Linked DNA regions of Ovis aries. The protein of the gene in region 3 interacts with the protein of the main gene of each other region in a biochemical or structural test. Links are inferred from orthologs where the notes say so. Each region holds a gene or a part of one and is shown on either strand. Other genes may lie near its edges.

Region 1 (3,647 bases), on a different chromosome or scaffold from region 3:
CAGAGGGCACACCCCGGCAGCTCTGGGTGCAGGGTGACTGTGTCCCTAGCAGCTCCACCGGGTGGGGTCCCTGGGGATTGCTTCGGGGTTTGCTTATACTGGGCTGAGTGTGGCTCCTCTGGCCCGCGGGGTGCATGTGCTCTGGAGTTGCCAGCAGGAGCCCAGGGGTTTTAGACCTTTGTTTTCGAACTGAGGCCATTCTTTGGACCTGAGCAGACTTGGAGAGGTAGAGGACTCAAAAATCCAGCCTTGTGCTTAGAAACATCCCAGTGTCTAGGAGGCGAAAATGCTGCCTTTGCAGCCTCTGAGTGTGAGCCCCATTGCTGGGGAGGAAATGGAAACTGCCTGTTGCCTGGTGCAGCTGCTTAGTAGCTGTGTGCAAGGGAAAGGCGCTCAGTTGAGTCCGAGTCTATGCGACCCCATGGACTGTATCTCCATGGATTATACAGTCCATGGGATTCTCCAGGCCAGAATACTGGAGTGGGTAGCCTTTCCCTTCTCTGGGGGATCTTCCCATCCAGGGATTGAACCCAGGGCTCCCACTCTGCAGGCAGATTCTTTACCAGCTGAGCTATCAGGGAAGCCAGTAGCTGTGTGAGCCTGGCCAAATTAACTTAACCTCTCTGGGTTTGTTCCATCAACTGTGAAATGGGGATAAACAGATGCTGTTTGTTTTGCACTCAGAACAGTGCCTGGTGAGTGAGTGCCGAGAATACGTGTGAGCCTGAGCTGGTGTGAAGCAGAGGACGGGTCTCGGGGATGCTCGAGTGTGGCTGCTTGTTAACCCTCTCACCTCTGTCTCTCTCCCGAAGCACCTGGTTGGTCGGCTGATTGGCAAGCAGGGGCGCTACGTGAGCTTTCTCAAGCAGACATCTGGTGCCAAGATCTACATCTCCACCCTGCCTTACACCCAGAACATCCAGGTCTGCCACATCGAAGGTCAGTGGCAGCCGCTGCCTGGGTTTTATGACAGTTTTCTTACCTGGAACGTAAGTGACTTGAAGCATTTGAGTCCCACTTGCTCCCTTTTGAAATCTAAGTCTCTGAATAGAAAACCCTGCTTCTCACCCCAGGTGAAGGGAGTGGGCGAGTCTTCCCGTTAGCCTCATCACTTCCGGTATTGGAAGGAGACTTGGGATCCCCCAGATCTTCTGGCGGGAAAGGGGTGGGCACTCGGGGACTGGCCAGGGGTCCTGGGCTGATGGTGGACAAAGGCCAGCCCTCCCCGTCGGCTAAGCTCCTGTTGCATTAGTGCAGTCATAAACAATAGAGGCCAAATGTGAAAGGGCGACAGGCTTCCAGCTTTAGATGTGTTTCATCCTAAGGCGAGGCTTGGCATTTTGGCACCTTAAAGGTGCACCTGAACTCTGGGAAAAGTCTGGTGCGGTTCGGGGTGGGCCTGAGTTCAGTTTTGCTCTCTGTCTGAGCCCTGTGACTGTGGTCTGGCCCCACATTCAGGCTCTCAGCATCATGTGGACAAGGCGCTGAACTTGATTGGCAAGAAGTTCAAAGAACTGAACCTCACCAACATCTACGCTCCCCCGCTGCCTTCGCTGGCACTGCCTTCTCTTCCAATGACTTCCTGGGTGAGCATGCCCCTTCCTCCCGGCCGGCCCTAGGTGGAAGCCCCCGAGGCCGTGGGCAAGGAAGGCCAGGGCACACTGCGGCCTGCCCTTTCACCTCTGGCCAGCGGTCAGCTCTGCTTTTAGTTTTCTGGGTTGGGCTGGGGGCCAGGCTGCTGTAGGAAGCCAGAGGCTTCTCGGTCCCTGCTTGGAAGGACCGTTCTCCCCGCCTCTGCCGCCTGGGCAGTCTGTTCTCTAGGCAGTTGCCTGGAAAGGACTGCTCCCTCCTGACTGGCCATGTGCAGGCTGGCTCGGGACGCCTTTGAGCTGTGCCTTGTCCTGGTAACCCTGAGCCCTGGTTCAGGGACCCCTCCGGTGGAGTCGGGTCCGGCGGTGGCCCTGGTGAAGGAGGCCCTTCCCCTTGCATCCTCATGGGGGGCACCTGGGCCATAAAGGGAAAGAAGCCCCGCTCCCCCTGCACTCCCGGGAGCCCTCGCAGAGGGGCTGGCGTTCTGGGGCCTGTGTGCTGGGGCTGTGGGGCCTCTGGGGCCTGTCACCCCATCCTGCTGTGCGCCTCCAGCCCTGGGAGCCTCGTCTCACTGGGAGCAGAACTGTAGGTTTCTGAAGGCTGAGAACACTGCACTTCACACGTAGGGTGGGTGTGCACTCCAAGAAAACGTTTAAGATGCTGGCCTTTTCATCCTGTGTCTTTCTCCCTCCCAGTACCCTTGTGCTTTGGGGGAGGGGGTGGGTGTCCCTTCCTTTCTTGTGAGTATCCGGGAGTAGGCTGACCCCCACTCCACGCTTCACTTCTGAATCATCGGGGTTTCCTGTGAGGCTTGGCCCCAAACCCGCTCTTTTTCAAGTAGTTGAGCGGTTGGTGAGGCCTCCTCTCCTTGGGCTCTGAGTGGCTGGAGCCATGACTGTTGGCCCGCAGGGCCGGGGGGTCAGCGCGGAGCTCTCACCCGAAGCTCTTTCTGTGGCCGCCTGGCTGGGAGGTGGCATGGATCCCCTTCTGTGTCCACAGCACCTAGGTGTTGCCTTAGCTTGGAGAGAGACCGACGGTCACGCTGGCACTCCTGGGGTCAGCTGCCATTCCAGGGAGCTGGCAGAGCGGCCCTCAGGCTTAACCATCTCTTACTCTTGTTCTCAGTGGCCACCCCATTCCTGTTTGCCTTCCCTGGGCCTTGCAGGGTCTGGAGAAGAGGGGGACTGGGTAGAAGCTGTGCCCAGGCCTGTGGGCGGCCAGACGCTCCATCCACCGTGGACGCCTGGGGGCCTCCCTGCCCAGCTGAACTGAGGCCACCTCTCGTGGTTACGTGGGGTGTTGCAGGGCCAGGGCCGCAGGGGAGCCAAACACTTAGAACGGCGTAAGAGAGCTTTCCTTGCACCTCTGTTGTCTAGGAGCCGTGTTGCTTTGGTTTGCTCTGCCTTTTCCAAAGATGTGCCAATTTGGAGTCTTGCCCTGGGGCCTCAGAGTCTATCCCAGGCGTGAGAAGGGCTGCTGAGTGCACACGCCCCTGCCCTCTCTGCAGCTCATGCTTCCGGACGGCGTCACTGTGGAGGTCATCGTGGTCAACCAGGTCAACGCCGGGCACCTGTTTGTGCAGCAGCACACTCACCCCACCTTCCACGCGCTGCGTAGCCTGGACCAGCAGATGTATCTCTGCTACTCTCAGCCTGGCATCCCCACCTTGCCCACCCCGGTGGAGAGTAAGCGCTGCCCTCGGGGCCGGAGTGGGGCGCCTGCACTCTGCCCAGGCTCGGGGAGAAGTTTAGGGGGTTCTCCTCTTGTTCTGCCCGTGGTTTTAACCAGCAGGAGGCTGTTCTGGGGCTCTTCCTGGGAATAGCATCCCTGAGTTCTTGGTGTCAGCCTGGGGTGCGCTGGGCTCCATTTCCTGGCTAGCTCAAGCTGGTGTTTCCACAGGCTGATGGAGAGAAGGGGTCAGAATAGAGTTGGCATGAGGGTTCTGGTCTCAGCTCTGCTGCTCGCCTGTTGAGGGAGGTGGACGCCCATGGGGTCTGGGAATCGGGGTGGCCACTGGGTGTGTCAGACAGGCACAGTGCCTGCTGCGGACGCCGCTC
Region 2 (3,647 bases), on a different chromosome or scaffold from region 3:
TACTGTGTATGCCCCTTCTACATTTTATTCTTGACTCACAGTTTAAAGTGATGTTTTAACTTTTTGTTGAAGTACAGTTGATTTACAGATATGCAGATGACACCACCCTTATGGCAGAAAGTGAAGAACTAAAAAGCCTCTTGATGAAAGTGAAAGAGGAGAGTGAAAAAGTCGGCTTAAAGCTCAACATTCAGAAAACAAAGATCATGGCATCTGGTCCCATCACTTCATGGCAAATAGATGGGGAAACAGTGGAAACAGTGTCAGACTTTATTTTGGGGGGCTCCAAAATCACTGCAGATGGTAATTGCAGCCATGAAATTAAAAGACGCTTACTCCTTGGAAGGAAAGTTATGACCAACCTAGACAGCATATTCAAAAGCAGAGATATTACTTTGCCAACAAAGGTCCGTCTAGTCAAGGCTATGGTTTTTCCAGTAGTGATGTAATGGCTGTGAGAGTTGGACTGTGAAGAAAGCTGAGTGCCGAAGAATTGATGCTTTTGAACTGTGGTGTTGGAGAAGACTCTTGAGAGTCCCTTGGACTGCAAGGAGATCCAACCAGTCCATCCTCAAGGAGACCAGTCCTGGGTGATCTTTGGAAGGAATGATGCTAAAGTTGAAACTCCAGTACTTTGGCCACCTCACGTGAAGAGTTGACTCACTGGAAAAGACTCTGATGCTGGGAGGGGTTGGGGGCAGGAGGAGAAGGGGACGACAGAGGATGAGATGGCTGGATGGCATCACCAATTCGATGGACGTGAGTTTGAGTGAACTCCAGGAGTTGGTGATGGACAGGGAGGCCTGGCGTGCTGCGATTCATGAGTTGGACACGACTGAGCAACTGAACTGAACTGATTTACATTATTTTATTAGTTTCAGGTGTACAACACAGTAAGTATGTTTAAGGATTATATTCCATTTAAAGTTATTAAAAAATAATGGCTTATATTTATTTCCCAATGCTATAAAACTTACCCTTGTTGCTTATTTTACACATAGTAGTTTGTGCCTCTTAACCCTATACCCCAATCTTGCCCCATATTTTCAAACATGAAGAGGGGAAGTATTAGTCTTCTGATCGAAACCTTCCAGTGGCTTCTCATCAAATCAGAATAAGAGTCCAAACCCTTTTAACATGCATCTGGTATGATGACCTCTCATGACCTCCACCGGGCTCCTGCTCTCCCTGGCTCACCCACCTTAGCCACACAAGCCTCTCTGCTGTTTCCCCAATACGCAGTCCCACTAACCTTGGCTGGGAACTCCATTTCCCTGATTTCCACTTAGCTATTGTCTCTTCACCTTTGGCTCACTGCTCCAATGTCACTTTGTCAGAGTTGCTTCCTGCTACCTCTTCAAAACTGCACACCACCCCCAGCACTAGCTCCCTGCATATCCCTATCTTAAGATGGCCAAGAAAAGAGGCAGTGCATGTCACAGCACTGACAAAAGATACTAAAATATCCTGGGTTACCATGTGGCTCAATGAAATTCCTCCTCAACTCAAGAAATTTTCTCTTTCCATGAGACTCACAAAAATAATCCTACAAACTAATAACACCAATCAGTCCTGATGTTTTCCCAGGGAGAGAGAAGGCTAAAAGTGAACATCTGAACTAAGCTGTTAGGACCACTGAGCACAAGGCACAGCCTCTAAAACACAGAACACTGTAGGACTATCACAGAGAGCTGTCCCTTAGACGGCGGTTTATCCAGAGGAGTGGTGGCAGGAGGGAACTAGTTAGAGAATGCTTGCTTTCTTCACGGGGCTTCCTTGGTGGCTCAACTGGTCAAGAATCCACCTGCAACACAGAACCCTAGGTGGGTAAGACCCTCTGGAGAAGGAAATGGCAACCCACTTCAGTATTCTTGCCTGGGACATCCCATGGACAGAGATGCCTGGCACGTTCAATTATGCTCTTTGTAAGAAAACTTACCTTTGTGAACAGAAATAAAAACATCATCTCAGAGTGGTACATTAATATGGTGATACTCAGTATTTGCTGTATGAACTTCTCCAGCTGTTTCCTTGATTCAACCTTACCTACTCTACAGCTGTGTAAACTTGGGCAAGGTGACTATCTACTCTAAGCCTCACCTTCCAATTGAGGAAATGGCTCATACCTTCCTTCCCCCAAAGGGCTGCTGGGGGATAATGAGACAGTGTCTACGAAAAGTAACAGGTAGGATAGCAACGATATGCAAATGTAATAGGGAGTATTTCTTTTTGTTCATTTAGGATTAAAAAGAATCACATCTTTCTGAACATCTTTCTAAGACATAAATAATCAAGTTAACTCTTTACTGCAAAACCCAAAAGAAATCAGAAGCTTACCTGCTGACGGCCTGTCCAGCACTGACCACTGCTGACGCCAGTATCTCTGTGCTGAGGCTTTCGGCAAAGCTGGCGCCTTCCTGTCCGATCCCACTGTCGGCTGCCTGGCTGGTACTACTCAGCTCTCTCTCTGCCTTTTCAATCGCTTCAGCAACTATCTTCTCAGCAAGCACTGCCTTCTTATCGAGATTAACGTGAATTTGAGGGACATCAAGATGAAAAATCCTAGATTTCTGATAGAAGCTGCTAAGCTGTGAATGAGAAACTGGCTTACTACCAGCAAGTGAATCCGGTCTGGGAAAGCAAGGAGACGAATTTCCAGTGCAGTCATGGAGCTCTTTACGGTCACAGTATCGGCAAGCCTGACCCACCAGATGCGACAGCTTTTCTGCGTAAGTGATCCTATCAACTGCTTTTGTGGCTTCAGACACGTGGAAGACGGCAGATCCTAAACCCACCTCTAAAGTGTCGCCCACGACTTTGTTAGCATACTGCTCTATAGCTTGAACGACAGTCTCTCCATAGCCACACCCACTCAAGCTGCCTGTACTCTGAGAAAATCTGTGATTCTGTGAAGAAGGCTGAAGAGACTTGGGAAACTCTGGCCCGACATGAGTCTCAGTATCTTCGTCACATGCGTTTTTTTCATAAAGGCAAGAATCTGTTAACGATTTTGGCAAGCCACCTGTTGATGCCATCAGCTCTTTTGTAACATCTCTTGTGATGCTGTGAGCAAGACAGGTTGAAAAACTATGTAGTTCTGAGCACTCATTTCTGCACATGTCCCGTGTCCACTCACAAGTCTGGTTTTTATGAAGGTAACTTCCACCACTTCTGCTTTGTCTTTTTTTATCTGCTTCTTGCTGGTGTTCTTTATTTAAAAACAGTAACAGTTCATCGTTGGTTTTCATCTGTGAGCTCTGCACAGGGAATATTTTGGAGCTGCACTTCACTTTGGCTGTTTTAGCTGCTTCTTGCAATCCTGACTTAACAGACCGATAGGCAAGTCTGTTGGCGTACTGGTCCATTATTAAGTCACTATTACCACCTTCCTGTTTTAGTATTTGGATAATGTGACCTGCATACTCATCTGTCACACTTTCACAGCTGGGATACTTGTACGTTAGACCTGACAGACAAGAACTTGGTGGTAAAGGAAGAACAAACGGATCTACTCCTCCCGGGTGTGCTACAGCCTCTACATCCGACTTCTCTTCTGATCTATAATCTTGGTCACCATCAACACAACTGTTCCTCTTCCTCCTGAAAAACATACAGCTCCTAACTTTTGCTATTTTTTCAGCTTCCGT
Region 3 (3,747 bases):
TTCCAATTTCACTACATCCTCACCAACACTTGCTCTTCTGTTTTTTTTTTTTTTTCCATAATAGCCAACCACATGGTTATGAAGTGGTATCTCACTGTGTGCAGTGTATTTTTAGTCTATTATCTGTAAACAGAAGTTCACCTTGTGTTGACTGCTATAATTATACTTAGCACAGCCACTGAAGAGATATAAACAAAAAAATTAAATACCAGTAAAATAAAGCACAGGGTTACAAAGATTTGAGTCAATTCAACTTTGAAAAATATATAAAAAATGACCAAAAAATGAAGACATGACACAAAACTTGGAAATTCTGTTTTACTCACCTGTGACTAATAACTAAAATAATAACATTTGGGGTAAATATTGTTGCAAAGCAAGTTACAACTTTGTGATTTATTGTTATGACAGTGAAACAAATGCAGAAGTCACTTCTGAAATAAACCTTTTAAAAACACATTTATTCCTGGGAGATTGTGGTCACTAACCCTATTTTAAAGATAAGCAAATTTGAAATCAGACAAGTTCCATGGCTTATCTTAGACCACAAAGCAATTCTGTGGCAGGGGTTGGTTTGTGAAATAAGTTCTGATTTCCAGGTTTAAGGTGAAAAACCCATAATTTAATGTGTATTAAAGCCAGGGTAACATGGCCGAACAATTTCCATTCTTAGCGTGAATAAACTAAGTTGTCCACGGCACTGAACCTTACAACCTGCAATAGCAATGACCAATAATTAACTCCCTGCCAGCCTAACTTACATGCGGATTCAACTCAAAACTAGGTTGTTGGGGGTTTTCTCAGTGCGAGCTAGTAAACACTAAGTCTCTAACTTTGTCTCTCAAGTGTTTTCATTGTTTTGTTAAATTCTGGCTGTTCAAAACTAGGGTAATTCTATCGTTAAACTGACAAAGTCTGTGTTGAAGCCATCAAGGAAAATGGAATTCCTCTTTGACAATCTTGCTTAAATCAGATATAGAGGTGTTACTAGTCGTCTTTCCTGCACCACATATGAGAAAAAAATGTATTGTTGACCCTCACCACATTTGATCCAGTGATTTTAGGCAAATTAAATATATCTTTATACATATATCTTTATACATATACTGAAGTATCCAAGACTGAAAGAACGTGAAATGCTGGGACTTGCTTTAAAATACTTCAGCAAAGGAGAAAAAATATATATAGAGAGATGAAACATTTGTGACAGATATTTCAACTGTGTAACGTGGGTGACGGTATACAGGGAGTTCAGGTCACCTTTTCTATTTCTGTCTACGCTTAAAGTTTGCACGATAACTTTTCACAAAATGAGTTCTTTCCCAAGTTACCGTCCTGGTTAGGAAACTCGAGTCGGTGTAGGCGAACGTTCTTGTCTTCGCAACGAAACCGGGCGAAGCTTCTCCAGCCGAGGCGGCCGTGGGCTCCACGCCCCTCCGGCCCTGCGCCAGCACGCGGGCCGAAAGCGCGCACGTTTCCCTCGAGCTGAATCTGACAACTCGCTCGCTGCTTTCCGGGGCTGGCAGGATCGCCGAGCTCAATTTGGAAGTGGCTCACGCCGGCGGCTTGGGGAACCTGGACGAACTCCCCTCGCGGGCTCCAAGGTCCCGGCCCAGGGTGGCGGGCCTGGCCCCTCGCAGCCCCTCTCTGGATCTCGAGAGACCCTCGCCCCCCGGCACCGCTTCCTCGGTCCCCGTACCGCGAACCCCTGCCCAGCCCGCCGCCTACCGTCCAACTCCTCTTCGTCCTCCGACTCGCTGTCCGCCACCGCGTCGGCGACCAGGCCAGCGCCGGGATCGAAATCCTGGGAGCCGGAAGGAGGGGCGGCGGGCGGGGTGGAGGCTCTGGAGCGGGCCTCGCGCAGGCGGGTGAAATAGTCCACCGCGAAGTCGACGAGGTCTGGTGGCCGCTGCCGCAGCACCTCCACGGTGTAGCCCTGCAGCAGCTCCGTGAGCCCGGGCGGGATCTGAATGTGGCTCATGCCGGCGGCGGCAGGCGGGACCGGGCCGCCGGCGGCCACCGCCTAGGCGGGCGCTCCCTCACGCCGGCCTCTCGCCCGGCGCCCCGCGAGGTCTCCTCACGCGCGACCCGGGTCGGGCCTTCCTCGCGCCACGCCGCCCTTTGGCAGGGTGTGTGTCTCCGGGCCCCACCACCCTACGCTACTCCGGCCGGCCTGGCGCCGCCGCCGCTGTCACTGGGCAGCCGCCGCCGCCGCCGCCGCCGCCGCCGCCGCCGCCGCCGCCGCCGCCGCGGGCACCGACGAGCGGGCGAGCTGGACGGGCGGGGCGGGAGCCCGGGTTGTGACGCACGCGGCCGCGAGCGTGCGCGCTCCCGCCGAGCGCCGGCCCTCAGTGCGCTTGCGCCAAGGGGCCGTCTGCTCGCCCGGCTACCCTGGTGATCTTCAGTCCAGGCGCAAGGATGAGAGGTCTACCCGCTAAGCGGAGTGTTAGTGCCTCTTATCTTTCATTTCTTCTTTCAGCAAACGCTAAGCTCCAACCATCTGCCCGCGCTTACTGGGTACCAGGGACATAGCTGAGAGCCACAGGCAAGAATGCCACCTTACCATCTCGGTGTGCTTCCAGATATGGTGGAGAACAAGGGGACCCTCTTTAGGGGGTGACATTCAAGCTGACTCCGAGACCTGGGCAGGATCTAACCACAGGAAGAGCCAGAGGAAAGCCATGTGGACATAGAGGACAACAAGAGTGAAGACCAGGGAAAGTCACAACCACCCTGACCGTTGGGTGGCATGGTGGAATGACCATAGGACCCTCTAAAGTCTGGCAGGAGGTCTTTGAGATGTCAAAGAAAGAAGGCCTTGTAGACAGTAGGAGTTTCGATGGTATAATAATTTGGGAGCCACAGGCAGATAAATCTGGAAAAATGAGTTAGAAAATATGTTCCTTGAGAAAAAGGAATAAAGCCTAGGGCAGGAAGGACTACTGTGCCTGTTTCTCTGCTTGAGGGTTCCCATCAGGCTTCCCAGGACTAGGTCTGCACACCTATTCTCTCCCCATACTCTGCCCTGGACCCTGGGCCCTGGGCCAGCATTGCTTGATGGTGTTTCAGCAGATGGCAAGACACTGTTATCCTTTGTCCCTAGGAAGGGGCCTAAGCAATCTGGAGAGGCCATGCTATTTCCCAAGCTGCACTTTCACCTACAGCAGATTGCAAAGGAAGAGAAAAAAGTGGAAACCTTCCCAGTGTGTTCATAACACAGCCCAGGTGCTGACCAAAGTCCCAGTAAGCATGGGACAGCATCCTGTCTCTCTGCTGGGCCAAGTCAGAAAGTGACTAGATATAGCCTTGGGAATCTGAAAGGCATTTGGGATGGTTAAGCTCTGCCTGGTAATTATCCAGTATTAATTAAATCCTCACTAGGACCTCTCATTTTGTCTTGGCACACATCCAGGAGCTCAGTGCTGCTGGGAACTGAGCATCTAGAAGCAGGAATACCTGATCCCCACTGGTGCAGAAGCCACCCAGCCCCCAGGCCAGGCAAGTCTGTGATTCCAAAGAGCAGTGTCTCCCTGGACAAGTTTCTTGACTCCTGGGAGAAGTTCTGAACCATCAACTTTGTTAGGGGAAGAGTAGTGTCCAGCTCATTCCCTGCTGGGGTCCTTATTGCAGTCTTGCTAAAGATTTACTAAATAAATGAATAATAAATTTTCACACAGCAAGAAGAGCCAGTGAGACTGCTCTCCTGACCTCAGTCTCAGAATTAGGATCCTTTGATTCAAAGCTATG

Evidence for each region.
Region 1: the proteins of PRKAR2A (region 3) and AKAP1 form a complex in vitro, tested with the Homo sapiens proteins (2 studies listed by BioGRID, with this or other methods). The link is inferred for Ovis aries from reciprocal best matches to the Homo sapiens genes PRKAR2A and AKAP1.
Region 2: the proteins of PRKAR2A (region 3) and AKAP11 form a complex in vitro, tested with the Homo sapiens proteins (2 studies listed by BioGRID, with this or other methods). The link is inferred for Ovis aries from reciprocal best matches to the Homo sapiens genes PRKAR2A and AKAP11.

Annotation. Positions count from the first base shown.
Region 1 is NC_056064.1:7,654,975-7,658,621, forward strand, and holds part of AKAP1 (A-kinase anchor protein 1, mitochondrial), read left to right. Parts: intron 1-812; coding exon 813-939; intron 940-1,458; coding exon 1,459-1,586; intron 1,587-3,097; coding exon 3,098-3,275; intron 3,276-3,647.
Region 2 is NC_056063.1:12,814,959-12,818,605, reverse strand, and holds part of AKAP11 (A-kinase anchor protein 11), read right to left. Parts: coding exon 2,338-3,647; intron 1,805-2,337; coding exon of another isoform or gene 1,744-1,804; exon of another isoform or gene 855-1,743; intron 1-854. UniProt on the Homo sapiens protein: Binds to type II regulatory subunits of protein kinase A and anchors/targets them.
Region 3 is NC_056072.1:51,132,678-51,136,424, reverse strand, and holds the start of PRKAR2A (cAMP-dependent protein kinase type II-alpha regulatory subunit), read right to left. Parts: upstream 2,274-3,747; 5' UTR 1,982-2,273; coding exon 1,729-1,981; intron 1-1,728. UniProt on the Homo sapiens protein: Regulatory subunit of the cAMP-dependent protein kinases involved in cAMP signaling in cells. Type II regulatory chains mediate membrane association by binding to anchoring proteins, including the MAP2 kinase.